Cricetulus griseus: one gene and its partners. The protein of the gene in region 2 interacts with the protein of the main gene of each other region in a pairwise test. Links are inferred from orthologs where the notes say so. Each region holds a gene or a part of one and is shown on either strand. Other genes may lie near its edges. The genes, in order: Fabp1, Flna, Casr, Hspb7, Adamtsl4 and Rflna.

Region 1 (5,301 bases), on a different chromosome or scaffold from region 2:
GAGGTAGATAACGCAACCCAACAAGCTTCTAGGTGGAGTAGAGAGCTGCTGTACAGATGGACTGGATAAGCATTTGATCTTTTTGGTGATTATGACGCAAGTGGGCGGGAACTGTCCATGAACAGAGGGGATGCTATGTAAACTCTCCCACCGTGGGCTCAGCACAGGCTGGAATGACAGAGCGGAGTTGCAGAGAAAAGAGAAAGAACACCAAGGGTGGGAAGAGAGGAGCGGGCTGTCAGCCGGAGCAACAGTTGACATCCCTTTCACATCTTTCCCCACTGGCTCTCAGCCCAGCCCCAGCCACATGTGCGCGCATGCCCATGCGCATGTGCATATTCACTCTCGCCCTCAGGTCGCTTTGCTCCTGGCCTCATGATTCACTGATTACAGGACTGGTTTGCTGAGCTGACTATTGCATATCTCTCATTACCTCTTAACCACAAGAGCCGCGGCCTCGTTATCTTTTGATGTTTCTTCCTTTGCTGACCCATCACTGATTGAGCTCATCCCATGTGCCAGGCATTGGAATCGAGCATAGTGAGGACAGAATGTACAGAAGTCATCCCAGCTGAATGAAGGAGGCAGGATGGGTGGGGAGTGTTATAAAGCGCTCCATTAGCTGGGAGAAGGAGAAAGAGCAGAAGAGACACAAATTCCAACACAGAGAAGACACCCCTGACACCTTTGGCTGGCCCTATGGTTGTGACCTCCAGAGAAAGGGGGTCTGACTAGAGATGGCTTTTGCAAGCCTAACAGCTGCGCTAGAAGTCTAGGCATTGACAGACATTTTCCAAGACAAAGCGGGGAGCTCATGATAACGACGTACAAGTTCTGTTGAGAGTAGTCATCACAGCCAGGACAGTGGACACAGGGATCTTCTGTGTCATCCAGGACCTGTGAGCCCTAGAGCACTAGGGGCCATCAGAGGTTTAAAACTGAGGCATGGCATACCCCAGGTTCTGATGTATAAACAGTCTATGTAGCCTCATAGTAGAGAGGACTAGAGGACGGAGAACTAAAGGCTATGGGTGAAGAGGCTGGTGCTAAAGTCTAGATGGAATAGAGAAATAGGGTGTGAAGTGGCACTTGCTGAGAACTGCCTCAAACACAAGAACTGTGTGTGTGTGTGGGGGGGCGGGTCAGCATCTCCATAGGGGATGAAGCATCCCTCTGCCTTCTGCCCAAGGCCTGTTCCGGTCAGACCACACTCTCATGTATCAACTCAGCTCCCTGCTCCTGCCTTGAGGCAGGGATGGAGCAAGTCAGCAGGCAATGCCTTCTTCCTTCCCTTTACTTGTCTTTACCAAACATAACACATCTAAATTTCTACACCTATGCTGTAGAGATGTAAGCATCTGCGGACAGAGACGCCCTGTTAGCACTTCAAAAGGGAGGTCTGCCTGGACTGTGGAAATACTTGGAATCATTGAGGAAGAATTCTCAGGATACAATACTGATGACATGTTTGTAAAATTATGTTTGTCTAATAATAAAAGGTTGAGAAACAAATACAAGGTTATGTGAAAAAGGTTTGAGTTTAAAGGTATTTCTCCCCATGTAACACACATATATACATAAACACATATATGTGTGTGTACATATGTAGCTACATGTATATAAATATATGCATACACACAAGTGTAAAAACACATACACATGTGTATATATGCATGTGTACACTGTTAGAGACATGATTCACCTATATCTGCGGCACGTACACATCTGTGCACATACATTTCATGCACACACACTTATTTCATTAGTGGTGATAAGTCACCATAAAGGCAACATTACAGAGAGCTTTGCACTTGATTGGCACTCACTAATGTTTGCTGAATTAGAACAAACCTCTGCCTTGCCCATTCTGATTTTTATCGTTGACCATTGCTCTCAGGAGTTAATGTTTGAACCTGGCCATAAAGAAATCGACAACCACTGACCTATGGCCTATATTTGATGAGGAAGAAGCCCCTTATAAAATAGCCACCAGTGGGTGGCCTGGCAGACAGAGCTGCTGTGGTCAGCTGTGCAAAGGAAGCCTCATCGCCACCATGAACTTCTCCGGCAAGTACCAACTGCAGAGCCAAGAGAACTTTGAGCCCTTCATGAAGGCAATGGGTGAGTGCTGGATGGGACACCAGAGCTGGTGCAACGAGAAAGAGGGTCTAGCCCTGCCATCAGCAGCTAGTCAAGGTCTGATATTGAGGTGGAAGAAGGGTCCAGGCTATCCCAAATTGAGGCGTGCTATAGTGACTTTCCTGGTCTCTTCCTCACTGGACAAGGTCACTGGGAGCTGTGGAGATGACACTGAACTGGAATGATGTACGTGTGTCTACTGGTTCATGGCCTTATTCATTCATTCATTCATTCATTCATTCACTTTTCTGGTAAATATTGGTTCAAGACCAACCACAACTCAAGCACTGTGCTTGTACAAACACCAGGGAGACAGAATGTGATAGGCTACAACCCTGACCAATGTTTGGAGACAAAGCTACAGTAGTGACCAACTATTTGGAGATAAATGCAATGAAGTGTCCCTTGATATGTATGACTTTATACCAGGTACTGCAATGCCCACATTTAATACTCACCATAAAACTGAGTTATCACTGTTGAGACAACTGAAGCCAAGAAAGGGGAAGTGGCTATGACAAGGGTCACCACATAGGAAGTATTTGAGTTGGAGTTAGAAGAAGGTGCTGGGTCCCAGAGACCCTATTTAGATACCCCACATCTCCCCCAGGGTACAGGAGGGAAGACTTTGTGGTGGCTTGGGACCAGGGAGAAAAGAGTATGTTCCAGGAAGAGACAGCCCTGTGGGCAGAGGAAGTGGATGAAGGAGGGTGCCTACAGGCAGGAGATGAGAAAAAGCAAGAGCAGGGAAAACAGGACACTCAGGTCATCCCAGGACTCAGAGCTTCTTTTGTAGACAAGTCACAGCTCACGAAGTTGAGGACCCCCTTAGTTGTATGACAGGTTCTCTACTCTTGCTGTGAATCTCCATTCACGTAAAAGCACAGATTTGCTCCGAAATCTGCAAAGCCCTATTCAAGGGCAAAGGACTTTCGTTCATTACCCACAAGAGCCTTGACTCCAGAGGCCATAGCAAGATTGCCTGGCCTGGTCCCACTTTGTGTGGGGGACCATTTGATTTGGAAGATAAACATCCTGAAGGATGAAGTGTTCCTACCCTAAGAACAAGGCCACTAACAAATTAGGAGGGAGGGCAAGTAAAAAGCAGGAAGCCGCAGAGGAAAGGGCCTCAGGCAAATGAGGGTCTTTATCACAGGTCAGTGGCTAGAGTGCTGGTCTAGCTCACACGGAGCCCTGGGTTTAATCCCCAGACTACATAAGCCCCGTATGGAGACACATGACTGTAATCCCAGCACGAGGGAGGTGGAAGCCGGAGGATCAGATGCTCAACTATATAATGAGTTAAGGCTAGCCTAGGCTACAAGAGACCCTGGCTCAAAAACTAACAATACTAAGTGGGAAGATAGTTGCAGGCCACTGACTTTCCCTCTCAGAGGCCAAAGGCTCACAGGTCTGCTATATAGAAGTGTGTGGGGCCTCGGGAACCTGCAGTGAACCCTCTTCTTCTCCGGTCTCTAACTTACATGGGCTCTTGCAGGTCTGCCTGATGACCTCATCCAGAAGGGGAGGGACATCAAGGGGATCTCAGAAATCGAGCACAACGGGAAGCATGTCAAACTCACCCTCACCTATGGGCCCAAAGTGGTCAAGAACGAGTTCACCTTGGGGGAGGAATGCGAGCTGGAGACCATGACTGGGGAAAAGGTCAAGGTATGTAGTCCCGCCTCCTGTTCCCCAAAAATTCTCCTAACAGAGACCATGTCGCTGAACCCACTTCAGGCAGGAGACTGAGAGAGCTCTGAGAAGAAACTTCTCCTTGCCTCAGGGATTTCGTGGCTTCTGGGCTCTCACTATGGAGGAGGTGGAGAAAATGGGCACAGAGTAGGATCCTCAGTCACATGGTCTCCCAGGAACAGTGCTCCTGGCTCCGAGTCCTCCAAGGAGAGAGCCGGGAAATCACTGTCAGTGAAAACCTTTATCTGAGCCAGGGCAGCTTCATCTCGGGGTGGTGGTTCCAGGCAGCAATGCCAGCTGGCCGTGGGCTGTGTGAGTGGTGACAGGTAATAGCAGAGAGATCCAGGTGCTGTGGGTCCTGTTATCTGCCCCTCCCTATGAAGCCTGCACAGCCCAGGGTAGTCAGTAGGCTGTGCATCTGTTCTCTCTACACCTGCCTTTCCTGGCGGCCTTGTGCCTCAGGCACAGCAGGAGTCTCTTTACCTTTTCAGGTTGTGCTTACTTCTTCCGCCTTTCTTGCACGTCAAGGTGAAAGGTGGAGGGGATTCTCCTGATCTGCTCATGGCCAGCGGTGGGGTGTCATGGGTTTTCCAACGGCCCATTGTGGAGGCCGAGTTTTGACCTTGTGTCTTTTGTTCATGACTAGATTTCTTCCTCCATCCCTCCCTTGCTTCCTTTATCCTTATTCTCCCCCCCCCTTCCCCAGCATCTTGACATGTAGCCCACACTGGCCTCAAACTCAGTATCTTCCGGCTCCTGCCTCCTGGATGCTGGGATTATAAGCGCTGCACTGTGCCCAGCCACAGCTGTGCTTCTATTTACTGCCATCTTTGATGTCTAAGGCTTGGAATTGGCACCATAATAGGAAAGGGTAAACAGCTACCAAAGCAAACTGTCCCCACAGCTGCTGGTGGCTGGGCCTCTGCTACAACCTCCCTCCATAAGATCCAAAATGGGATTTTACATTTTATTTTAGATTCCCCCACCCCCACCCCAAGAGAACCACTAAGGCAAGCTTGACATTCTCTTTCATTCATAAACACCCCTGTTTCCATTCAGCACTAGAGAACTGGAGATGAACAGGACCTTTGACTCACCGTCAGCTGTTACCACACAGGGAAGCAACCTCATTAGCTTCATCGCTAGACCTTTCCTCACGGGTCATGATCTCTCTTCCCTGCAGGCAGTGGTTAAGATGGAAGGAGACAATAAAATGGTGACAAGTTTCAAAGGCATGACGTCGGTGACTGAACTCAACGGCGACACCATCACCAATGTAAGTTGGCACTCTGGTCTTGCCATCCCGGTGTTTGAGGGGCATGGAGAAGTAAAGGGTGGGGGACAGGTGTCTGATATCTCTCATTCTCCCATCTTCTCCTCCCCGAGACCTTGACTTTTGTCAGTGTCTTCTACCACTTAAGAGGATCGGTTATGTTCCACGTAGTTGATACGTATTGTCTTGAGTCT
Region 2 (3,623 bases):
ACTACAGATGAGTGAAGTGATGACAGTGGGCTTGAGAGCCTTGCATAGGGCTAGGTCCGTTTCAAGGAGATATCCCAGCCATCTGTAGGTTTCACTGGGAGCTAGAATGTTGTTTAATTTTAGCTCTAGGGGACACAGGGAACCATCCTCATACAAAGGATGCAGAAAGGGGTTACTGAGACCAAGAGATTTCCCCACTGCATTTGTAGCAAGGAGGCTCTATATTACAAGTCGCATTTGAGGATAGAAGAGAGGACCATCAAGAATACTTAGGAATGGCTGGGCATTGGTAGCGCACGCCTTTAATCCCAGCACTCAGGAGGCAGAGGCAGGCCGATCTCTGTGAGTTAGAGGCCAGCCTGGTCTCCAGAGCAAGTGCCAGGATAGGCTCCAAAGCTACACAGAGAAACCCTGTCTCAAACAAAAAACAAAAACCAACCAAAAAAGAATACTTAGGACCAGAGCACTATGCTTCCTTCCGTAGGAATGGGTATCCCTCCTTCATTGATGAAGAAGTATATACACTCTGTTGTAAGAGGGAGAATCTTTGTAATGGTGCCTTATTTTGTGCGTTTGAGACCAGCCTAGTCTACATAATGAGTTCCAAGCCAGCCAAGGTTACATAGTGAGACCCTGTCTCCAAAATATCAAAATAAGCCAAGCAGTGGTAGGGCACACCTTTAATTCTAGCACTCAGGAGGCAGAAGCAGAGGCAGATGGATCTCTGAGTTGGAGGCCAGCCTGGTTTCCAGAGTGAGTTCAGGACAGCCAAAGCACCTCAAACCCACCTCAAAAGCCAAACACTAAGAGCTGGTATTATTATGTTCATGGTATCTAAGAGACGGCTAGGCCTTGATGCTATTTCTAAGACAGTTTACCTGATCATCACTGCTAGCGATCACCAACTAGCTAGCAATTAATCTTAATGCCCCACATTTTGCCTACTTGATCCTATGCCATTCTAGGTACATCATATACCCATCTCTGTGAAACAAAGAGCAAATACAGACTGTGCTACCTGGAGATCCCACAGCCTATACCTATGCCTTGTTGGTACCCTTGCCAGTTTGGACTTCATCACTCTTTCCATGAAAGATACAGACACTCACAGGACAATGGAAGCAAAATTTTATTCCTCTTGTCTGGGAAAGAGAACTAGCAAGTGGTTGTACATAGAACTCCCACCCTCCCAGAACCAAAGGAGTCAGGCGCTGCCACCAAATGGCTCCCTTTACCCAAGTGAAAGCCCAGAGAGGCAGGTGAGCACAGCGCAGGGCAGGGGAGACTGCAGTGACAGAGTGGCCAGAGTGATCTAAGGGAGGGCCCAGGGCTCAGGAAAGGAAAATGGACTTCTTGGGGGTGGGACAGGTGTGAGGTTGCTCTTTGCTATGGGAGATTCTGGCTGGCATAGTTGTCAGGCTCAGGGCACCATAATGCGGTATGGGCTGCCTGGGATATGCTCATCACCCCACTTGACCACCAGTGTGTACTCCCCTTTGTCCTTGAGCAGGTAGGAGACACTGTAGAGACGGCTGCCCATGTGTTTCACCAGGATCTCTTCACAGGGTGTCCTTGGGCCATGCACCCCCACCAGCAGCATGTTGTTACCTGAGGTAGGAATAGGCCTCAGTGACTAGCCTTAACCCCTTCCTTCAGCTGTAATTGCTCTGAGCCCTTCTTCCTATTCTACATCCTGTTCCTTGCCTGTTTAGAACAATACCCCTTCCCAACAAGCTTCTCATACCCCACCTAGGCCACCAGAAGACAAATCCCAGGTCTTCCAGGACATTTTCTTCACAGACACAGACAGACAGACAGACAGACAGACAGACAGACACACACACACACACACACACACACACACACACACACACACACACACACACGTACGTCTTTTAGACAGGGTTTCACTGTGCCTTGACTGTCTTGGAACTAGCTCTGTAGACCAGGCTTGCCTTGAACTCAGAGATCTGCCTCCCATGTGTTGGGATTAAAGGGGTGTGCCACCACCAACTGGCAATGCATTTTACATGCATTGGTGTTTTGCCTACATGTATGTCTGTGTGAGGGTGTTGGATTCCCTGAAACTGGAGTTATAGATAGTTGTGAACTGCCATATAGATGGGTGCTTGGACTTGAACCTGAGTCTTCAAAAAAGAAAGGAAGAAAGGAAGAAAGAAAGGAAGGAAGGAAGGAAGGAAGGAAGGAAGGAAGGAAAGAAAGAAAGAAAGAAAGAAAGAAAGAAAGAAAGAAAGAAAGACTGATTATATAAACTGGGCAGTGGTGGCACATGCCTTTAGTCCCAGCACTCAGGAGGCAGAGGAGGCAGGTGGATCTCTGAGTTTGAGACCAGCCTGGTCTACAGAGTGAGTGCCATATAGGCTCCACCCTGTCTCAAAAAAAAAAACAAAATAACAAAAAAAAACCCACAAAACCCAGGTCCTCTGGAAGAGCAACCAGTACTCTTAACCACTAAGCTACTTCTCCAGGAAGCCCAAATATAAAGTAGCCCCCAAAGCAACAATCATACCCCTAAGTTCCTGTACTTTCCACATGTTGACTGTCTTGTGATTTCTGACTTTGTACTTCCAGAGCTAGAAACAGGGATACTTACCTGCTTTGCTGCAGTCTACTGTGAAGCTGCTCTTCTGGCCTACATAGGCCTTGCTCAGCCCCAGGCCTTTGGCTACTACCTTGCTGACATCAGTGGGACTTGGGCCTGAGGTTGCAAGCTGGGGAACAGTGGCAACTTTTGTCAGGGAGTCCACAAATACAGATGTTGTCTCATGAAGACTGTGGTTACTAACAAGACGGGGACCTGCAGGACAGAATAGGTGAAACTGAGAAGTAGCTAGAGAATATCAAGGCATTGAATGGGCACCAACAGCTTAGCCTGGGGCTCACCTGTGACCTTGGCTTTGAAGGGGCTTCCCCCAATGTGATAGGGCCCACCATACTTGATGGAGATGAGGTAGCTTCCGGGTGCCATAGGGGTATAGGTGACACGGTAGCCCTCAGGGCACTCCTGGCAATCCATCTTCACCTTGGAGGGGCCATCAATGGTAACGGAAAGGGCACCAGCTCCTGCATTGCTTGTGTTGACGATAAACTCAGCTGGGCTCCCTGGGAGCATGGAAGGTCAGGCAGAGTGTATGTCACTGGCTCTCCTGTCTTCAGCCACCCAGCACAGCCTTGATACTTCCACATGCTTCCTGTTGCTAAGAGCTTGGATGCAGGGCCCTAACAACTGCATCCACACTCAGAAATATACCCATGAACCTACCTGTGACACCACCTTCCAGGCCTGCTCCATAGGCGGACACCAAGCCTGGGTCCCCTCCATGCCCAGGCTCCCCAACTCGGATCTTGAAGGGACTTCCAGGGATATGAGTACCATTGAACTTAACATCAATCAAGTAGATGCCATTCTCTCGTGGGATGAAACGCACAGCATACTTATCTGAGATGCAGAAGGACATGTCATGGGCCTAGGGTACTTTTCAGTATTTAACAAGCAAATGGTATCTAAAAGGAATAGCCTTAGTACTAACCATCCCTTTCATTTTTCTTGCCACCAGCAGGAACTCAACTGCTCCATGGAGACCCCTCTGCTTCCAGAACTG
Region 3 (5,247 bases), on a different chromosome or scaffold from region 2:
CCAGCACTTGGAAGGCAGAGGCAGGCAGGTCTCTGTGAGTTTGAAGCCAGCCTGGTCTACAGAGAGAGCTCCAGGCAAGCCAGGCCTACAGAGAGATCCTGTATAAAACATTTACCATGCATATAATTTTAACATTTATTAAAGACAACAGAAGTTTGCATACTAATGAGAAAGGTGTGTTTGTTTATTTTTACATAAAAATTAAATCTCAGCTAAAAACAATGCCTCATCTTCAACGTTCTTGAGAGTTCTTTGATATTTGACTTATAATCATCAATGCTGAGCATTCCACGTTGTATGAATATGTAGTACAAAATGGCAGAAGTCTGTTTAGGGACATTTCAGAAATTATTGAAAATATGCCCCAACCCCAAGCCAGGTTTGTTGAATGGTGGGGTTTTGTTTGTTTGTTTTTTAAAAGGCATTCAAGCCATCAACTTAAATGACAAAGTTTAAGAATCAAACCTTCTGACACAATACAATCTGAAGAGACAATGATTCAATGCACGCAAAGGAATGACAATAGGAACTTACTAAACATCTGTTTTCTGCTACTAAGCCATTGGGTTTAAGAGCAGAAAACTTCATATGTGTAATGAAACACTGCAGTTCATACACACACCTATCTTAAACAGAGGCATTTCCAGAAGCGCTAGGTTGTCACTCAGTGTGGTAGCAGGCTAGTGCCAAGGTACTTGTGTGTTCAGAACCAAGTCTGTGATGAAATCACACGATGCAGCCTGGGCAAGAGCTGCCAGAAGCACTCAGATTCATCATGCATTTGATCTAGAATTAATTTCTGGTCAATACTTCTTTATAAAGTCTTTACTATTGCCAAAATTTGTTTTCCTTTTAAAATTGAACAAGGGAAGGGTATGTTTGCCACTCCACATATTAAGATCAAAAAATAATGTTTAAGAGTCCATTCTCCCCTTTAGGAATTGAACTCAGTTCCTCGGGTCATCGGCTTGTATAGCAAGCACTTTTACTCACTGAGCCATCTTGCTAGCCCTTGTCAAAATTTCCAGGGTCCCCCACATCCAATCATATGACCCTCTATGTTACAATCCACCATTGAAGAGGCTGTGTTTCACATGAACTGTTCTTAACAGTCTTGTAAACTACTACATAACAAACTGGAAACAGATATCTTAACTAAAGGGTGTGGAGCTATCAAAATAAATGAAGAATGACTGGTCTTTTCTGACATTCTTTCTTGATCTGAAGTCAGATTTGAACTTAAATGTAACTTGTTCTGTGTTTTCTTTGGGGATAGAGTATTGTTGGTATTTTAACTGAAGGAGCTGCTACTTCTGGGACATTTCCATGCATCCTTCATGCAAAAGGATGAGTGTTTGCAGTCAGCAGCTGCAGAGCAGGCTACACTTACAGATGGCCTCTTTAGACCGTGGCCTCTCAAAACTGGATGCAGTCCTTCTGCAATACAGGCAACTGAAATTTTCTGTGTCTCACAGAGAACAGCTACATTACAGCAAATTGTGACCCTAAGCCATGCTTCTCAACATGCTACCCCTCAACCCCTCTAGATGGAAATTCCCGGCTACCTCTGTCATTGTACTAAGATGGGAAGTAGGTTTATCTGAATCCACTTTGTCTCTGTCTCCCTCTCTCTTTTTTCAGAAAGCATCTGAGGCAGTCGCTACATGATGTCACTCAGGACTCCAGAACCAACCACCCTACACTTCTGCAATGGAGAAGGCAGAAATGGAGAAACAAATGCAATCACTGCTATTCTGTCATTAGCCACTTTGTAGACATGTGTCCCCCCCAGAAGTCGTGAACTGCACCAAAGGGGGAAGTTCTTGGGCCCCCAGACCACTAGCACTTTTTACTGTCCCCCCAGAGAGAAGGCAGAGCCATGGCATCTTATAGCTGCTGTTTGGCCCTCTTGGCTCTCGCCTGGCACTCTTCTGCCTATGGGCCTGACCAGCGAGCCCAGAAGAAGGGGGACATTATCCTTGGGGGTCTCTTTCCTATCCATTTTGGAGTAGCAGCCAAAGATCAAGATCTGAAGTCAAGACCAGAGTCCGTGGAGTGCATTAGGTAAGGGAAAGCTGTAAGGGTCTGTCCATCTCTGGGTAGATGGAGAAAAGCTGCACTGGGCCCAAAAGAACATTAAAAACCTTTTCTCTCTCTCTCTCTCTTTTTTTTTAAACAATGGTTATCATGATGAGGTGTTTTGACTCTTCTTTCCTTTCCCTAAAGAAGTCATTTTTCAAAAACAAAACAAATACCAAGGGTATTGAATAGAAAACACCAGGCCGGCCAAGGACCAGACATTTCGTAGCCAGAGCACCATATTGCTCAGTGCAAGACATGGGATGGTACATACTGCTATTCCAGCAGTGCAGCAGGAGGATTGAGAGTTCCAGGTTACATAGAAAGATCCTGTCTCAGTAGCAGGACCTTGTCTCAAAAACACAAACAAATAAAAAAGGATAACAGAGGGCTGGAAATTTAACCTAGTTTTACAGCTCTTTCTAGAATGCACTTGTTCTATCTTCAACCCTGCAAAATTAATGAATCTACCCATTCATCAACTAAGTAATTAAGAATATATAGAAGGGCCTGGGGAGTGGAGGGGGGATGGCTAAGAGCAGGTGGGATGTTGGGGGGGAGGGGAGGGAGAGGGAGAAGGGATTGACATCTGAAGCAAGCTTGTTCCTAATTTGAACTAATAAAATAAAGAATGTATAGAAGGAAGTCCATTTTAGCTCTTGCAAACTTTCATAGTAAATTTCTCTTTGACCCATATGCTCAGTGATCCATGAACACTGGCTGCTTCACCCTTTTTTGTTGTTGTTGGTCACCTTTAATAAAGGAATTCAGTTAAAGAGTGTAGCCACTAACACTCAAGCAAGCACTTCCTAAATACAGTCCATTGCATTTGGAACCTTTTTCTGTTAAAGCATCTTTCTCATAAAAAGCTGACCCTCCTTCCTCTGTCCTACTCCCCTCACTGCCTACCTTTGACTCTGTCACACACAGAGAACATACCTGGCAGATGGGACATCACATTTCGTAGGCATCTTGAGGTCTCTCAGAACATCTGGAGGCAGCTAATATGTCCCCCTAAATCTTCTCCAAGCCAATAGTCTCAGTTTCTCATCCTCTTACATGTGATTTTTTGAAGCTCTCACCATTCTATTTGTCCCCCATCTGATGCTCCCTCCTTGACTGTGATCCCTTTAGGATGTGGCATGCAGTCACAGACAGCTCAGTAGTAGGATGTGATTGCCACAGTGTCGCCTCGCTTAGATGGGAGACACCTCAGAGGCCATGAGTTCACGTCACATGTGACTCAGCTTCTCAGAGAGCAGCATTTTCCCTCTGCACCTGAAGCTTCTTAAAAGGGACCCAGTGTTTCCCCTTGAACTTCCTGATAGCTGGAAAATGAAAGTGAAAGATCAACAGAAAACTGCATTTCTGTTCATGCCATAAGGACAATAGAAATTATAAGTTATAAATTAATCCAAAGCAAACAATTCTTTTGTTTAGTTTTTCAAGACAGGGTTTCTCTGTGTAACTGTCCTGGCTGTCCTGGAACTCCCTTTGTAGACCAGGCTGGCCTCGGACTCACAGAGATAGGCCTGCCTCTGCCTCCCAAGTGCTGGGCTTAAAGGCATGCACCACCTCTACCCAGTAAGATTACAATTCTTAAGGCATTTCATACCACCATCTGTATGTGGTCTTCAAATACTTACCTACAAAGGGTTCATTTTGCTTTCTACTTTAAGCTCCAGGAATGCCACTGTCTAAATTTGTGACAAATCTGCAAACCTGAGGTTGTTTTTAGGCTCCTACATATTGATATCCTAATCTATTTACAGTCCTCTGCTGACTTTTTCTCCCCCAAGGCAAGGACTTGCTATGAAGCTCAGGACTGGCTGAAACTCACAGCCTTTCTGCTCCAACCTGCCAAGTGCTGCCGTCACACAGGCATGCACCACCACACCCAGCCATGCCTTAGGTACACTAGAGAATGCAGCTATAAATTATTCAGTTAAGTACCAACGTAGTCCTTTAATTACTGTTCCCTAATTCAAAGGGACATGCTGTGCTAAGAATTTTACCTATCTCATGACATCTCCAAAGCCAGCCTAATTGGAAAACGTTGTTCCTGTTTTCACACAAGAGGACCTTGACCCTCAAAGGGCACATCACAAAACTGCAGAGTGATAGAGCCCAGATTCAAGCCGAGCTCAGGCAGCCCTTCTGCTAACAGCTGACCAAGGTCTCCCACTACTTCCATGTCTTTCTTCCAGGTACAACTTCCGAGGATTTCGGTGGTTACAAGCCATGATATTTGCCATCGAGGAGATAAACAGCAGCCCTGCCCTTCTTCCCAACATGACCCTGGGATACAGGATATTCGACACCTGTAACACTGTCTCCAAGGCCTTGGAGGCCACCTTAAGTTTTGTTGCCCAGAACAAAATCGATTCTCTGAACCTGGATGAATTCTGCAACTGCTCAGAGCACATCCCTTCGACTATTGCAGTGGTGGGAGCAACTGGCTCAGGGGTCTCCACGGCAGTAGCCAACCTGCTGGGGCTCTTCTACATCCCCCAGGTATTGATGCCTCCCTTTCTAAGACTTAATTTTATTATTTTTAAGTGTGTGTGTGTGTGTGTGTGTGTGTGTGTGTGTGTAGGCGTGTACACATGTGCCAGTGCCTTCAAAGACCAGAGGTGTCAGATCTTCTGGAGTTGGAGCTATAAGTGGTGGTGAGCCACCTAACATGGGTGCTGGGAGTTCTCGAAAGCAGGTTCTCGAAAAGAACAGCTCAACCATTCAACCACTGAGCCATCTCTCCAGCCCAACTGACATCTCCTTAGATGGGCACCAGAGGTAGGGAGGAGGAGACACAGGTTTGGGGAGCTGCATGTTAGCAGTGTCCTCTGTGGCACAAACGTAGTTGCAGCACCGTATCATGAGCACTTGAGGTCTCTGAGACCTTTACTTTACATCAATGAGACCTTCACTGCTCTTCCAGTACTCTTTTAAACATAACTTGCATGGATACAACTTGATCTTTTTTTTTTTTTCTGTTTTTTCCCAGTTCACTCCTTTAGTAACTGACATTCTATTTTTGCCAAAAGGAGTAAAGTCTCACCATTCAAACCAAAAATATCTACCCCTAACTCTGTTGCCTCAACATTTCTCCTTCCCTGTTGTCAGCTTTAGCTCAGAGGGAAATAAAGCATGTTTCCCCATAAAAATAGA
Region 4 (5,254 bases), on a different chromosome or scaffold from region 2:
CACACGCCTCCACACGCCTCCACACGCCTCCACACGCCTCCACACGCCTCCACACGCCTCCACACGCCCACCACATGCCCTCCACACGCCACCACACGCCTCCACACGCCGTCACACGCCTCCACACGCCATCACATGCCTCCCTCCCCGTCCTTCCACTCCCACTGCCCTTCTGTCCCTCTCCTGTGATGTTCCCTGGGCTTTGGAGAGACCTTTGGGGACCATTGTTTTTGTTTTTGTTTCTTTTCAAACAGGATCTCAGAAATAATGACCTCCAACTTCCTATGAAGCCGAGACGGGCCTTGAACTCCTGATCCTCCTGGTATGACAGGCATGCGTCACCACACCCATCTAGGGACTGGATTCCTGTCTCTGTGATCTGACAGAACCTTGCCTGGAGTCAGAGAATGACCTCCATGACCTTTTGAGGTCCTGCCTGGCCACTGAAGCCAGAGGGTTCAATATTTATATGGATGACTCCTCAGGGACGTGGGGGAAAGGAGGGGGACGGTGGGCGGGTGTGGGGAGTGAAGGGAGCTGACACCCAGCAGCAGTGACTCAGGCCCTCAGCACCGTGACAGTGACAGCGTGTCTGCATTTAGCTGTTGGCTCTTGTTTCCCTGGCAGGCTGCTCTGGGGGGCTCCCCACCCGACCCTACCTCTTTTCCTCTCTCCTCAATACCAGTGACTCTCTGAAGCCTTGCCAACTGCCCATCACCCAGGATAGGCCCCGGTTCGGTTCCCAGCCCCCACATGAGTAATTCACCGTTATTCGTAACTCCAGTTCCAGGAGATGTCTAGGGGTGACACATGCCACATGCCTCCACACGCCACCTTTAGCTCCAGCCATCACTCTGACCCCCCAGCTCTGCCCTGTCCTGTCCTGACTTCCCATAGCACCAGATCCAGTCTTAGTTAGCTCTGTGAACCCAGAAACAAGAGGCACAGCCCTCACCTCCAGGGACTCTGGGTTAGTGGGGGAGAGACAGGTGATCCTGACCCAGGAGCGGGGATGAGGGGGTACCAAGAGAGGTGTCAGAACGCACAAAGACTATGTCACACTGTCAAGTATTGGGGACTCAGGACACAAGGAGCCCCTGTAGGCTGCAGCAACTGGAGATTTCCACGGGAGAGAGGATTGGGTGATTATATGGGGAGAAAGCACAAGATTTGTGTTCCAAAACTGCTTGATGGACTGGTGGGCCACCTGCCCCCTGAAAGTGTCTCTCCTGGCTTCTGCCTCCTACCCAGCATCAGAGAGTCTGGAGTTCTACTTAGTAGTCAGTGAAAAGAAAGGGGCTTCTTGGACACAAGGGTCGGGCACATCTCGGGTGGAACCCCAACCATTCTAACGTGCTCAGGCCCAGTCTTTCCCTTCTGGACAGGCTCCATTTCCTGGTCTAGAAACTGACCTAAAAACTCCTCTTTTTGAGCCATGGAAGATGGAAAAGGGCTTTGCTGGGAAGGGACAGCAACACCCAGGGACACCCTGGGAGTCCCTAGTGTTCTCTTTGACCTGTGACTACTACGATCCTGGGCAGGCAACTCCCCTGAGCCTGAGGTGGAGGGACTATTGCTAGCAATTTAGCCTCCTAGACCTTTTAGGATAATTATCAAATTATCTGCCCCTTCCCTGAAGCTGGGCCCAATCCCCTCACCCCCACCCCGCCAGCCCCACCTCCAGCTGCCAGCTTTCTTCTATTCTGCTACAACAGATTCTTAGACCTGAGACGGGAGGGAGGGGTAGATTTGGGGTTCCTGTGGGAGTTGACAGGGGCCACCTATGTGTTCTAGCCCCGCCCCCTGGGCTGTCTCAACCTTTCTGAGGAGATAGCTGAACCTGGAGCTGCAGGTGTCTCACAGAGAGTCAGCAGGGCTCTTGTACATGCCCTCTCCTCAGGAGTCTCATTAGGGAGGCACAGGCCCTGAGAACCAGTCTGAGAGGAGAGTCAGGTCCCTGGCTAGGGAGGGAAACAGCAAACCACAAAGTCCTGGGGCAGGCATAGAGCAAGACTTGCCCTTGCCCTGGCCACTACAGAGGCCCTTGGGGCTGGAGCTCTGGGCTTGGAGTACCAGGCGATGAGCTCAGCCCTCCAACCCGGCCCTTGTGTGTCAGGCTGTCAGCAGGGCCATTTCTCCCAAGAAGATTTCCAGGCCCCTCTGGGCCATGAAGAGGCCTAAATTTAGCGAGCAGACAAGGGGCTGGCCTTGGGCCCAGGGACAGTCAGGCCTTATAAAGCGCTGGCAGTCAGGGCCCCGGCATGCTTCCCTGGAGGCCTGCACCCACACGCTTCTCCAGCCCAGCCCCTGCCTGGACAGGGTCCCTGCTGCCTGTGGATGAGCCACCGGACCTCCTCCGCCTTCAGAGCGGAGAGAAGCTTCCATTCTTCCTCCTCCTCCTCCTCCTCTTCTTCTTCTTCAGCCTCCCGGGCTCTCCCAGCTCAGGACCCACCCATGGAGAAGGCTTTGAGCATGTTTTCAGAGGATTTTGGCAGTTTCATGAGGCCCCACTCGGAGCCCCTGGCCTTCCCAGGCAAGTGCTGGGGCTCTGAGGGGAGGGGAGAGACACAGATAGGAGCGTCTGCTCCAGGGCCTCCCTGAGCAGGCTGTGGCCACCCCACCTGCCAGGAATAGGTGCTGCATGGGTTCTAGGTACATGTGGCTGCCAAGACAGACCTGGCCACCAAGACAGATATATATGGTTAAGATACAGGTGGGCCTCCTGGGGACAATGGTGACCTTAGGGGTGAGATGTGAATCCAGTAGTCCCACACAGCCCATGTCCTAATGGGAGCCCTAGAGGGATAGCTGAGATTGAGGGGTGGCTGGCCCCCCAGAGCTTCCAGGCCTTGGATAAAGGAGAGATCTGCATGTATAGATTACAGATTAAATAGAGTGAGGCTCGCACCCACCCCCAACTCCCTCAAGGTAAGCTGCAGGAGTGAGGAGAGGGGCTCTTGTCTAGGAGAGCCATTCATTTCCCCAAGGGAAGAGCAGAGACCAGGTTTTCAGGTTCGGGGCTTGCTAGGTGCCCAGCTTATAGCAGTTCTGTCCACAGCCCGACCTGGGGGACAAGGCAGTGTCAAGACCCTTGGCGACGCCTATGAGTTTACGGTGGACATGAGAGACTTTTCCCCTGAAGATATTATTGTCACCACCTCCAACAACCATATTGAGGTGCGGGCTGAGAAGGTAAGTCTTGGTCCTGCCCCCCCCCCCAGGGTCCCCACCTTCCCCGGAACTCTGCCTGGTCTAGCTGGCTCTGTGTCCCCTAGTTTCACCCGTCTTCTCCACTGACCACTGTTTCCTTCCCTGTCTGCACGCCTCCGGGACAAACTGCAGCCCATTCCTGGTGGGCTCACAGGCCACGGACCTTCATGGCCCTCTCCAACCTAAGGTTCATAGAACCTGTCTTTTGGAGCCCATGTCATGGCACCTGGGGATCCTCCAGGGATGACAGAGGGATCTTGGGATGTGAGCAGAAGGGACCCTGAGCGGTTGAGACATGAGTGGGTGAGGAGAGAAGGGAAGTGACCATGGTGGAGTAAGGACAGCTCTTTGGCAGAAGGTAGAAGAAGGTGGCAGTGGCTGATCCAACTTGGGCAGCACAGTCCACTCATGGCACCCTCCACCCTTCTTTCAGCCCAGGGCCAGAAGCGTGGGCCCTGTTGTGGTACCTCCACACTGGGCCTGAGGCTGAGCAGGAGCCACGGAGCTCAGAGTCACACCCACCCTGAACCCCACGTACCTTAGTCAGAGTCTCAGGGTAGCTAGATCATCAGAGAATGCATGGCCAGCCGAGACAGTGGCTGCTGCAGTCCTTAGGACCATGCTGATTCTTAGAGGACATTTGCCAAGGCCTCCCTGACCACCTCCCAAGCTTGGCTAGCTCCCCTAATTAGGGCAGGATACTAGGAAGCCCCGCTAGGGGTTCGAGGACTGAGGGCCACTGGCTGCACGTGCCAGCCCCACGTCTCAAGGGTGACTCAGCCAGAAGACTCCGATGGACACTATGTGCTGGCTGGGCTTCGGGGGAGGGCGGTGGCCCTGGTGGTGGACACTCAGGGTGTCTGGGGATCCAGAGGGCACAGCTGTGTCATCTACCCACCACGGCTCAAGAGTCCCAGACTTCCAGCTACTCCTGTGCAAGTTCAACCCTTACAGAGCCCCACCTAACCCATCTTACACACAGCTCCCCTTGGGACCTCTGGAGCCCCTCTGCAGAGCCCTTGGCTCCTGGCCACCGCACACCTCTGGCCAGCTCTTTCACATCTGATAGCAGTGGGGTAACAGGACAGAGAGCAAAGCAGAGACTCTGGCTTGATTTGGGCATGACCAGGACCCAGGATGGGGCAAGGGCTGGGACAGCCACTCCTGACCTGTCATCCCTCCCCCAGCTGGCAGCTGATGGCACGGTCATGAACACCTTTGCTCACAAGTGCCAACTGCCAGACGATGTGGACCCTACATCGGTGACCTCGGCCCTTCGAGAGGATGGCAGCCTCACCATCCGGGCACGGCGCCACCCCCACACAGAACACGTCCAGCAGACCTTCCGGACGGAGATAAAAATCTGAGGGTCTCCCCACCCTTACCCTCCCCTCCCCGAATCTCCTCTACTGGCCTGCTGGTGAGGTCATCCTGACCCCTGACGATGGCCCCCAGAACATCTCAGCCCGGTCCAGTCACTCCACACACTCTTAGGCCCCAGGTGGGTCAACCTCCCCCCAAACTAGGGCCCTCCTCTCCACCCAGGAGCAGTCCCAAGACCCTCTTGTTCTCTCTCAGATAGGATCTCCCTGTCTTAGTTCACAAGAGAGGGGTTGAAGGATGGACTTGGGGAGAAAGTTGAGGGCTAAGCAAATGATCAGTGGACAGAGAAACATCTCTGCAGGGCAGGGGACCAGGGACGACCCTCCTGGCAAGTGGAATATAGGAGCTGGCCACAAGCAGGGCTGCTGGCCTAGGTGGACTGCCTCAGGCAAGCCAGAGAGATAACCATGATTGTCACCTCCCCAGGGCTGCAAGTCTCCAAACCAGGGCTACCTGTCACCCTGGGCCCCAGTCAGCTACTTATGCCAGGCAGGGACACCTGTACCCAGGTGGGGTTTATTAAAATAGCATGAGGCTCCCATCTCCAGCTGCTGGTGCCCTAAGCTCCTGGGTGCCTTCCCCCCCCCCCCGCCCTGCAGGGAGAGTCCCCCTTAGGAAGTGAGAGCAAGAGCAGTCACAGGCCTGCTAATGCACCAATCTT
Region 5 (5,152 bases), on a different chromosome or scaffold from region 2:
CTTATTGCCACCAATTCACATATTTCTTGTAACTCTGCAAACCATGATACAGAGCCTGAAAAATAAAAATGTGTAAGCAGCACTTGTCCTGAAGGAATGTAGGGATTTGTTGAGAAAACAAAATATGCAGGTTAAATTTCAAATAAGGTTAAAAATCCTGGCTTATCCCAACACTGTAATCCCATGCTCAGCTGGCTGAAGCCAGAGTTCAAGTTTGGGGTCAGCTTGGGCTACACAGTGAGTTCCCATCAACCTGTCCTATTGTTATCACAGGGCCTGTCTCAAAAACAAACAGTAGCATTCTGCCTTTTTCAGGGCTGGGAATGGAAACTGGGCTTCCTGCGTGTAAAGCTCACTAAGTTACATCCCCAGCCCCAGGACTGTTTTATAGACACACCCATCATCTTTGAGATAGCTCCTGCGTCCACAGAGCCCCATATTAACTCCAAAGTGGTCAATGTTCACTGGCAGGGTCTGTGCTATTAGACTGAGCACTTTCGGGATGGAGACTAACTTCTATGCCCTCAGCAAGAGCTATACAAGAAGTGTTAGGCGGGGCACCAAGGGCCTCTGTTGTTTTGTGGGGTCACAAGACAATGTTGCTAAAACTTCTATATTTGTGTGTTTTGACATTTAGGTTGTGAACCTGGCCTTTAATGGCTGAGTCATCTCTTTAACCTTGATTGGGTGTTTTTGCTTTATTTTTTTAGATTTTTCAAGACAGGGTTTCCCCTGTGTAATAGCCTTGGCTGTCTTGGAACTTACTCTGTAGGCCAGTCTACCCTAGAACTTGCTGCGTTTCCTAGGCTGGTCTTGAACTTGCAGTGGTCCTCCTGCCTCAGTCCACCAAGAACTGAGATTAGAAGCATGCACTACCATGCCCAGTATGTTTTCAAAAAAAATTTACAAGGTTGGACTGATATGGTGGTGTACGACTTTAATTCCAACACTTCCAGGAGCAGAAGCAGGTGGATCTCTACATAGTGAGGTCCAGGTGGCTCAGGACTTAATAGTAGGACCCTGCCTCAAAAATAAACAACCAAGCCAGGTGGTGGTGGCACACACCTTTGATCCCAGCACAGGCAGAGGCAGGAGAATCTAGTGAGTTCGAGGACACCCTGGTATACAGAGTGAGTTCCAAGACAGCCAGACCTGTTACAAAGAGAAACTCTGTCTCAGAAAAACCAAAACGAACAACAACAGCAAAATAAATAAACAAACAAATAAACAAACATCTACCTACGAAAAGACGTACAAGCAGAATATAAATAGAATAAAAAGCATAAAAAGGTAAAACTCTTTCTCATCCCTTCTTCTTCACTCGGGCACTCCTTCTGAGTCATTATTCCACATGAAGATGGACAAACATTTCCAAGCCTAATATACACATCAAAGTCTCCCATTCTACAGACGACACTGCTGCCGCACTGATGTTGAAGTGCTAGTGAAAGACCACAGAGCTGGCAAGCTCTCGAGCTGAAATTCAAATCCAAATTTGTCTGACTCATAATTCAACGTGCATTCCTTCCGCTAAGCTCCGGGGTGTAAAATTTTATGGATGAAGAAACCGAGGCTCACAGACATCCTCGGCCATCAGAGCCACACGGTTCACTGCCCAGCATGGGAAAAGAGGAGGAGATGGCACGGGCTGCGTGGAGGAGAGGGCCTCGGCTTCGGTGGATCTCAGCTTGAGGAGGGCCACATGGGTCCAGTTTGTAAATCCCCCTTGCCCGTGCTCTTCGTGTACAAGCTCCACCCGAAGGCTGCTCTGACAGGGTCGGTGGGGTCCCAAACCCTGGGGTGGGGGCGGGAACGATGCCCGCATGGCCTCTAGCCGTCGGGGGCCGGCGCGTGGCGGGCGGGGCGCGGGCGGCACGGGGAGGAGCCTGCCGCGGGCGGGCGGCGCTGTCCCCGGGCTCCCGGCCCTGGTGGCGGCCGAGGAGGGCAGCTGGAGAGAGCGGGCGCAGAGAAGGTAGAGCCTCCCCGACCCCCGCCTGGGCTCTGATGGTCACGGAACAGCGGACCCTGGGCCGAATTCCTGGGGAGGGGGTCTGGTCCCATTACCCGGGCGAGGGCTTGAGCCAAGATTCCTATTAAGTCACATAGTGAAGTTGGAAAACATACGGGACCTCCCTGCAGCCGGCGCCACCCGCTCCTCCCCGAGGGGCTTCGGGAGGATGCACCCCTACGCCTGACTCCGAGAACGCAGGGATAGGGTGTCCGGGAGGGATGCGGGTGGGGCTCTTCGCACAGCACAGCCTTTTGGGAGAGGTTGGGGGGAAAGACAGACACCTGTTGGGATGGAATTCTAACAGGACAGCAACTCCCCTTTGCCAGTCCAGCCCTTACTAGCGCTCCTTTCTTCCTAGCTCATTTGCCCGAGGCGAGCCCAAGGGTGAAGGGGTTAGCTCCATACAGGTCACTTTCCTTGCTGTCAACGGCCCAGTGTGGGGTGTGAGCAGGAGCAGCCTAGGCTGGTCCTTACCAGAGTCCACCTTGACTTCAGGGTGGCCACCTCCAACTTCTGTCTTCCTCACCCTTGGCACAACAAGCATGCATTTGTGCCGGGAGGGGGAGTCTCCTGCTTCCCTATGCAGGGGAGGGTGGGGTGGACTTTTCCAGAGAGGGAGCCAGGCCTGGCCCTGGCCCCAGGAGCTCTCATCACCCCCCACCCCTCACTTCTCCAGGGAGCTGCCAAAGCCAGCTCAGGACAGGATTATGTGTACTGGGTAGACCACGGAGAGGCAGCAGGGACAGACCTGGGGGAGCAGAGAGAAGCAGGAGGTGGAGAGGGGACCAGCATCGGACAAGAGAGAGACAGGTGGTGCCCATCACTCCTTCTTCCAACTTCGAGGGGTTGAACATGGCTCCTTTTCCACCAGGGCTGTTGTGGACCTCAGTGGCTGGCCCAGCAAGGGGAAGGAGAGGGCTCAGCCACTTTGTTCCTGTCTTCAAATTCCCAAGTTCTGGGGTCCCGGGAGTGGGGGTTTGGCTAGCTTTTGCTTTCCCTCTGTTCTTTGCCTGCCCTGAGCTGGCCCTGTGTTGGCCAGCAATGCTTGGATTCCTCTGGTGGTGCCATTTAGATCCAACAGAAACAGTGTTTTTCCTGGAAAGCAGAGTTGAGATGGGATGAGGGGTGTGGGTGGGAAGGGCCTCAAAGAGAAGGAGGGGGCTGGAGGACAGGGCCTTGGGAGAGACAGGCTATGGAAGCCCCTCTCTACAGCATTCAAGGCTAGACTTCAGGGTGGACTTCCCGGGTATACCAGAAGGCGAAGCTGGTGACTGGGAAGGATGAGCAGCTATGGCTGCATCTCTCTCCTTCCTAAGTGCCCAGCCATTTTGGCTGAACATCGGAAGAAAAAAAAAGAAGAAGAAGAAAACTAGCTGTACATGAACTAGGTTGCCACGAGCCAAGGCCTCGTGGATGCTGGCACCCACAGGGAGGTTAAGTCACCGCCTCTTCTCTAAAGATGAAGCCATTAGCCCACTTAGTTTATCCCTTGGACAAAAAAGTGCCTGTGGTCACCCAGATGTGCCTGGCTGTTCCTTCATAAGGAGCTTTATCTAAGAGAGGGAGAAAGGTCTGGGAGGCAGGTAGGAAACAAATACTCGGGTTTTTTATTTTTATTTTTACTTTTTTTTTTTTTAAGGGGGAAAGAGTTTTTTTTGTTGTTGTTGTTGTTTTTGTTTTTTTGTTTTTTTTTTTTTTGAGATAAGGGTCTTGCATCACCCAGGCTGGATCTTCTGCTCCCCGACTCAAATGGTGGGATTAAGGCTTTTGCCCCCACACTTGGTGTCAAGGGCCCTCTGGTACCTCATAGGGGTACCTGGCATAGCCTGCCTCCTCTAGGTCCTGGAGCTCTGGGAGGAAGAACCTCCTGGTTCCCCCTTCCTCCACCCTGCCCTTCCTCGGGCCTCCAGAGGAGCTAAGTCCATCTTGGGCCACAGGGAGGGAACTAAACTGAACTGGAAGGCTGAGGTCAGACCCCCACCCTTGACTCAGCAGATGACAAAGACAGTGTTCCTTATTGCTCCCACCCTTAGGTCCTAGAGGGGTGGACCAGTTTTCCCTCCACTCTGCTGGTGCTGTGCTGGGACAGCCCTTTAGTCTTCCGGCAATCTGCAGGGGTAACCACTGTGCTTCTTCCTCAGAGTATCCTCCGTGCCCAGATGCCAGAGTAGCTAACCTGCCCCTGCCTCCCAGCCCAGGGGCAGTCAAGGGAGAGCAATGGAGACCTGGCTGGGCAGGTAAGAGCAAGGGCTGTCAGTCTCTAATAGTAAGAGCAGGGAAGGGGCCCGGCAGTTGTGGCACACACTTTAAACTTGGGAGGTAGAGGCAAGTAGATCTCTGTGAGTTTGAGGCTAGCCTGGTCTACAGAGAGAGTTTCAGGGCAGCCAGGGCTACACAGAGAAACACTGTCTTGGAAAACCAAAAAAAGAAAAAGAGAAGGTAAGGGATTGTTAGAAGGGGCCTGGCAAGTGACAAGGAACTTCTGCTTCCTGAGAAGTTGGCAGCCAGGATGTGGGGAGCCTGGGTGGGGGAGGGCTATGTTGTAACACTTCTGGCTCCCTCTAAAGTCCCCCACCCCCTTGGTGTGCAGGCTCTGGTTATGTGTAATGCTGTTTCTGCCTCTTCTTCAGCTCTGCCGGAATCAGGAGGTGAGCCCTAGCTAAGTGATCGGCTGCTACCCTGCTCAGGGTCCCTCCACTCTACCCTAGCCTGCCCTATCGGGAGGCTTCACATTCCCACGGGAGACTTCAGCCCTGTGTACCAGGCTTGGCCCACCCATCTCCCTTGCCAATTTCCTCTCTTTTAGTCAAAGAACATACACACGCGCGCGCGCGCGCACAGACACACACACACACACACACACACACAAGGCTGGAGTCCAGCCCTACCGGTACATGTGACCTTGGACAACTAACAACCCTTGAACCTCGACACTAATTCTAACCTTTTCTCCTATGTAGCTCTTTGGACCTTCTCTTCAGACACCAGCAGAGGAGGGCCAGGCCCCTGAGGGCCTCTGGGGACATTGGGGCCGGTGGGCCTCCTGCTCCCAGCCCTGTGGGGTGGGAGTGCAGCGCAGGAGCCGAACATGTGAACTGCGCCCAGGCCTACCCCTCCCTCCCCGACCCCCAAGACATCCAG
Region 6 (5,066 bases), on a different chromosome or scaffold from region 2:
TGTCCTTCCATCCTTCCTGACTCCAGGCACCAGCCACCTCATCTCTCATACAAGCCTTCATAGAAATGAAAATGCAGAGGCCCCAAAGTAGTGGCATCTATATCAAGCCCTTCCCACTCTCCTTGGACCAGAGCCCAGCTATGCACCCACCTGGGAGGAGGAAGCCAGCTCCTTTGGATGGTCCAGAGTGACATCAGAAGCACACTCCACCCTGCAATACTGACTCTTATGAATCAACCAGGAGAAACCAGGGAGTTGGAGTCTCCACAGCAGTGGCTCCCCACTCCACTTCTTGTCACCTGTCATTCAACACCCAGAGAGTCCCCCAGGTCAGATCCCAAAAGCCATCTGCAGCCCCCCCCCCGCCCCAGGGGCAATAAACCTGGGTGGGGTGCAGGCAGCAGTTGCCCAAACTGCTTGTAAGTGCTGGGAGCCTTCCTCAGCCAGCAGGACATGGCTCCCCGCCATACCTATCCCACACACAACAGCTGTGATGGAATTGGGGGGGGGGCACCTGATGTGTATCACCTGGTGTAGAAGTCCAGCTTGGAACCCAGAGTGGCAGACAGAGCTAGGGTCAGTCTGTTTTCATCTAGCCCTGCCTGGATGGCTGACCATTCTTGGGGTAAAGGTAGCAGCCAAATGGTCCCTGCTCCAGCCAATGCATCTTGCTCTCCTGGGGCCACATGGGAAGGCAGCACACAACCCCCAAACACACACAAAAGGTCACTTTGTACTCTTCATATGCACTTTTCAATTACATCCCTGATTGGGGTTTCTAATCTGGGGATCCTGGGAGCTCATGGTACTGTTTTTTATAAAATAAAAGACACAAGCCTATTTAAAAAACAAAAAACAAAGCATTAGCTTCCAGCCTCCTGACCTAGACCCTCCTCTTGTTCTCTGGTCTCTGCCACAGGACACTGGCACATGCCACCCTCTCAGACTGAGACACATTTCAGCCCTGTACAATAGTAATCCACTCCCTGGTTTGCTCTGGTTTTCTGAGGCCTGCCCTTCTGTCGTCGTCACTCCCCTACATGGCTGCCCATCGCTCCTGGCACTGTCACACATCAAAGGAAGTGAATGTAGCTCCCCACTAGAATGACAGTTCTGCACAATGACACTGATGCTGGAAGGAGCCAAGGGACATGTGACCACCTTCACATAGCTTCTTCCTTGCACAGGACCCCAAGATGTGAGATAGCCTTCTATCCCACGCAATAGATCAATCAATTGGCAATTGTCAGCCTGCCAACACCTGGGCCTAGGAGTTACCCAAGCAGGGGGACAGGGTGGCCATTAAACCACAGAGCACAGAAGGAATGGAATTTCAAGGAGGCGAGTAACCTGGTGGGTAGTAACTGGTAGATGGGTGGGGCCCCAGCTGGAGCCCCAAACCTGAGGCAAGGTTGCCATGGCTACTACTTCCTCTCTTTATTAAAAGCAGCACCTTGACCCCATAGCTATTCGACTTGTTTTTCAGTTTAAAAATTTTAAAGGTCGTTAATTTGCTACACTGTGAAAACCAGGGCAGGTTTAAAGGCACACTGGAACCAGGTTCCCAGGTTCTATTCTGGGCAGCTTTGGGCAACTCCCTAACCATTTCTGTGCCTCGACTTCCTCCAGGAAATGGAGGTCAGGGGCAAACAAGTACTCACTGGCAGAGAGAGAGCCATCCCTGGCATGAGGGAAATATCAGGTGTTCTTCATTACCTGGGCCCCAATGGCCCCAGGCTTCCCTGCCTATACAAAGTCACAGAACTGGGGAAGTATAGCTCTGTAGCTGGCACCTACTTAGCCAGGAATGGAAACAATAACCGCAGCATCAACCAGCCGGACATGCTGTTCTCATGGCACCTATGGCTGGCACAGTATGCATCCAGAACTCCCTGCAGACGCGGTCTCTAGGTCACAGAGAGTTGGAGCAAATCTTCCTGGTCCCTTCTTTCTGACCTCTCTCGGAATACACCCTGAGATTTCTTCCGGACCATGCAGCCCACACCAGGTGATCCACAGCTGCAGGAGTGCTGGCCTGTCTGTCCCCAAGTTTCCCTGAGAACAGCATTGCTCATTTGTCTTTACTCCTAAAGTCCTCGACCAGCCCCCCACCCTCCCCAAAGAGAGGTGCAAGTTCAATTCAAGACAGGCTTCCAACTTCCCTGAGTGCTCGAGTCTCTTGGGGAGATTTAAATAAAAGTTGAGATCCCTGAACTGTGTGTGCCCTGGACTATGTCAATGCCTGGAGGGGAAGCAGGCTGGACCTTGCTTAAAGAAGTTCAAATGCCTACTGCACTCTGCACACCTTGGCGGGAAAGGCCTTAACACATCCATGTGGAAGATATCAAGCCACAGACAGGGTCTGCCACAAGGTTCAAGTGTAACCTCTGCTGTGTTCAGCCGCCCTTTCTTCAAGTTTCTCCCTCTACCCCATCTCCAGAGCAATCCATGCAAAGCCGGTCCAGCAGCCCCTAGGTCCAGCTCCGCTCTGAGGGCAGTTCCGCTTCTACACCCACAAGACAAAGCCCGTGGAGGCTTTCAGGCCGAGCTGCGTTTTCAAAACTGTCTCCATTTAGCAGCCCCGGGATGGGTCCAGCCCCAGGATGGATCAACAGGACAGGAGACAGCAGCAGGGACGGAACCCACAGACAGATGGCCACAACAGGCCCCTTTGCAGATGGTGGACTTTGGGAACACCAGGACATTACGCTGTACTCTAGCCCACCAGCAACCCACCCTGAAACTCCCAGCCTACAGGTCCTGGTGAGTCTGGTGCAACTCCCTGTCTGCCTCAGGAGGGAGGAGACCATGCTGGCTTTTGCATGGGCCTCCCACTGCCGGGTCCCCGCGTCTTACCGCTGGTGCCTCATTGGGTCCTGGGGGCTCGGTGGTGGCTCGGGCATCTAGGGTGCCTGGCGACAGGGCGTAGAAGGGAGGGCTAGGACTGGGACTCGGGGGCAGTCCCGAGTCGGGACTGTCCAGCAAGCCGTCGCGGCTCTGCTCACGCGTGTCCCCCATGGCCTGCAGATGCAGGTGACCCACCATGACTGGCGGGCACGGGGCGCGGGCCCCAGCAGCTCGGGTCCCCGCCACCACTGGGCCGGAGGGGAGACGAGAAAGCTCTGGCCTGCGGCTCCAGCTGAGACCCACTCCCGATGCAAACGCCTCCAGCCGCCAGCTGAGCCGCCTTTCCCAGGCGCCGCCCCCTCCCCGCCCTCCTCCTCCTGCGCCTCTCGCTCCCGCCCTGACCACCCACCCGGCCAGGGCAGGGTGAGGACTGCAAGGTCTCCAGCCTGCAAAAGTCACCTCCACCCCACCCCGGAGGTGTTGAATGCTGACTTGAGTCCAGAGTCACCTCAAAAAGAACGCTGAGCCACCAGTGGTGCCATTGCTGGAGTCCCTCACCTGGACTGAATCTCCAAGAAAAGCACCTTCAGCAACCTGCGGGGAGTTGGGAGGGGGTACTTACAGTGGGGAACCGAATGATCAAAGGACCCAGGATCAATATCTGCCCCTGGGACCACCAGAGTGCTCACCTCCTTTAGCTTCTGTAAATTTGTCTGGGCAGCAATGCCCGCCTGCCCGGGGCCACCTGGCCCAGGTAACAAGGACACCTGGTGTGTAGATAGCACTCCCTTCATTCCAGTCGTTTCTCCCCACCAGTATGTTTAATTCTCCAACTCTGCCTGTGAATGCTTGCTTGCCTTTGATCTTCATTTTCTGGAAGAAAATGGAGACACAAAGATGGTTAGGAAGTTACCCAAGGGGTGGGGATGGGGGGAGCAGACTTCCAGAAGTCCCTAACACCTGCTGTTGTTGGGTTTCTCTAAAACCTGGTTCTCAGCCGTCCTAATGCTTCGACCCTTCATTACAGTTCCTTGTGTTGTGGTGACCTCCAACCATAAAATTACTTTCATTGCTACTCCATAACTGTAATTTTGTTACTGTTATAAATTGTAATATAAATATCTGTGTTTTCTGATGGTCTTAGGTGACCCCTGTGAAAGGGTCCTTTGATCCCCCCAGAGGGTGGTGACCCCAAGGTTGAGGACCACTGCTCTAAAAGGTCTCATTCAGGGACAGGGCTCTGCCTACCTTGTCCCACTTTATCTCCCATGGGAGCTGAACACACAGTTCCCATTCTGCCTGCTTTTCTGACAGGGACCAGAGGGCATCCCACCACTGCCTGCCTCCAGCCTTACATCTGGACACAGGATCCCAGATACCTACAGATTACTTGGCAGGATGGCATACAGCGTAGGGGACAAGTGACCTCTGCTAATCCATCTACCCCACATCTGCTGGACAGAGGGAGAGACCCCAGCTTCATAGTGGCCCCTGGAGGTTCGTCCTCCTTGTAGGTGGGCCAAGTTCTCTGGCTGGCAGGTGTGCCTAGACCTGGACTCAGGTGCAGCTGGCTGGCCTGTCCTTAGAACTACTCAGTAGGTGGGGGAGAGATAATACACCAGGTGATACAGGCTGGGGCTGAACAAAGGTACCACCAGGCAGTTGTGCCAGTCAATCAGGGAGGGCTTCCCAGAGGAGGTAACACTTGACCAGACATCCAGATAGAGGGAATAGCAGGATGTACAGGGAACAGCAGGACGCAAAGGCCCTATGGCAGAGAGAGCAAGGTGCCACCAGGGGCTATCACAGTGGAGTGGCAGGCTGAACCCTGTTATTAGAAAAGCATACAGCCTGTACATATGTCATCTAGGAATGAACTTGGGGCTTTGGCTGCCTGAATGAAACCCACAAGAAATTTCACCCAGGGGTCCCTTGACCAGAAATGGGTCTGTGTCACGGAGTTTCACAGGATGTAGGTGGGAGGCCTCTCAGGAATGTGAAATACAATATGTCCTTCCCCAGCGCTGGGTGCTGGTGCCCACTGGATATCACTGACACTCTAGAAAATGTTCTACCCTCTTAAACTTTCAATAGCCCCCAAAGAACCTTCAGGAAGCCACTGAAGGTAAGCTGAGGACAAGTTAAGGACCAGTGTATCAGGCTGTCTTTTGGGCCACCAGCCAGCTCCCAAATCATGACATGGAGACTTATTAGTTACA

The links.
Region 1: the proteins of Flna (region 2) and Fabp1 interact in binary tests that used the Homo sapiens proteins (3 or more experiments, as listed by UniProt). The two-hybrid records come from large-scale screens. The link is inferred for Cricetulus griseus from reciprocal best matches to the Homo sapiens genes FLNA and FABP1.
Region 3: the proteins of Flna (region 2) and Casr interact in a two-hybrid assay, tested with the Homo sapiens proteins (2 studies listed by BioGRID). The link is inferred for Cricetulus griseus from reciprocal best matches to the Homo sapiens genes FLNA and CASR.
Region 4: the proteins of Flna (region 2) and Hspb7 interact in binary tests that used the Homo sapiens proteins (3 or more experiments, as listed by UniProt). The two-hybrid records come from large-scale screens. The link is inferred for Cricetulus griseus from reciprocal best matches to the Homo sapiens genes FLNA and HSPB7.
Region 5: the proteins of Flna (region 2) and Adamtsl4 interact in binary tests that used the Homo sapiens proteins (3 or more experiments, as listed by UniProt). The link is inferred for Cricetulus griseus from reciprocal best matches to the Homo sapiens genes FLNA and ADAMTSL4.
Region 6: the proteins of Flna (region 2) and Rflna interact in a two-hybrid assay, tested with the Homo sapiens proteins (2 studies listed by BioGRID). The two-hybrid records come from large-scale screens. The link is inferred for Cricetulus griseus from reciprocal best matches to the Homo sapiens genes FLNA and RFLNA.

Annotation. Positions count from the first base shown.
Region 1 is NC_048601.1:62,890,844-62,896,144, forward strand, and holds the start of Fabp1 (fatty acid-binding protein, liver), read left to right. Parts: upstream 1-2,054; coding exon 2,055-2,121; intron 2,122-3,637; coding exon 3,638-3,810; intron 3,811-5,017; coding exon 5,018-5,110; intron 5,111-5,301.
Region 2 is NC_048604.1:1,487,561-1,491,183, reverse strand, and holds the end of Flna (filamin-A), read right to left. Parts: intron 3,461-3,623; coding exon 3,284-3,460; intron 3,124-3,283; coding exon 2,905-3,123; intron 2,819-2,904; coding exon 2,615-2,818; intron 1,609-2,614; coding exon 1,421-1,608; 3' UTR 1,106-1,420; downstream 1-1,105. UniProt on the Homo sapiens protein: Promotes orthogonal branching of actin filaments and links actin filaments to membrane glycoproteins. Anchors various transmembrane proteins to the actin cytoskeleton and serves as a scaffold for a wide range of cytoplasmic signaling proteins.
Region 3 is NC_048597.1:53,490,330-53,495,576, forward strand, and holds the start of Casr (extracellular calcium-sensing receptor), read left to right. Parts: upstream 1-1,879; coding exon 1,880-2,064; intron 2,065-4,286; coding exon 4,287-4,593; intron 4,594-5,247. UniProt on the Homo sapiens protein: G-protein-coupled receptor that senses changes in the extracellular concentration of calcium ions and plays a key role in maintaining calcium homeostasis.
Region 4 is NC_048595.1:11,830,121-11,835,374, reverse strand, and holds Hspb7 (heat shock protein beta-7), read left to right. Parts: upstream 1-1,839; 5' UTR 1,840-2,337; coding exon 2,338-2,533; intron 2,534-3,058; coding exon 3,059-3,192; intron 3,193-4,397; coding exon 4,398-4,577; 3' UTR 4,578-5,121; downstream 5,122-5,254.
Region 5 is NW_023276806.1:60,816,710-60,821,861, forward strand, and holds the start of Adamtsl4 (ADAMTS-like protein 4), read left to right. Parts: upstream 1-1,549; 5' UTR 1,550-1,776; intron 1,777-1,852; exon of another isoform or gene 1,853-1,972; intron 1,973-2,687; 5' UTR 2,688-2,821; intron 2,822-4,152; 5' UTR 4,153-4,228; coding exon 4,229-4,248; intron 4,249-4,601; coding exon 4,602-4,659; intron 4,660-4,971; coding exon 4,972-5,152. UniProt on the Homo sapiens protein: Positive regulation of apoptosis. May facilitate FBN1 microfibril biogenesis.
Region 6 is NC_048597.1:104,630,999-104,636,064, reverse strand, and holds the start of Rflna (refilin-A), read right to left. Parts: upstream 3,076-5,066; 5' UTR 3,046-3,075; coding exon 2,857-3,045; intron 1-2,856. UniProt on the Homo sapiens protein: Involved in the regulation of the perinuclear actin network and nuclear shape through interaction with filamins. Plays an essential role in actin cytoskeleton formation in developing cartilaginous cells.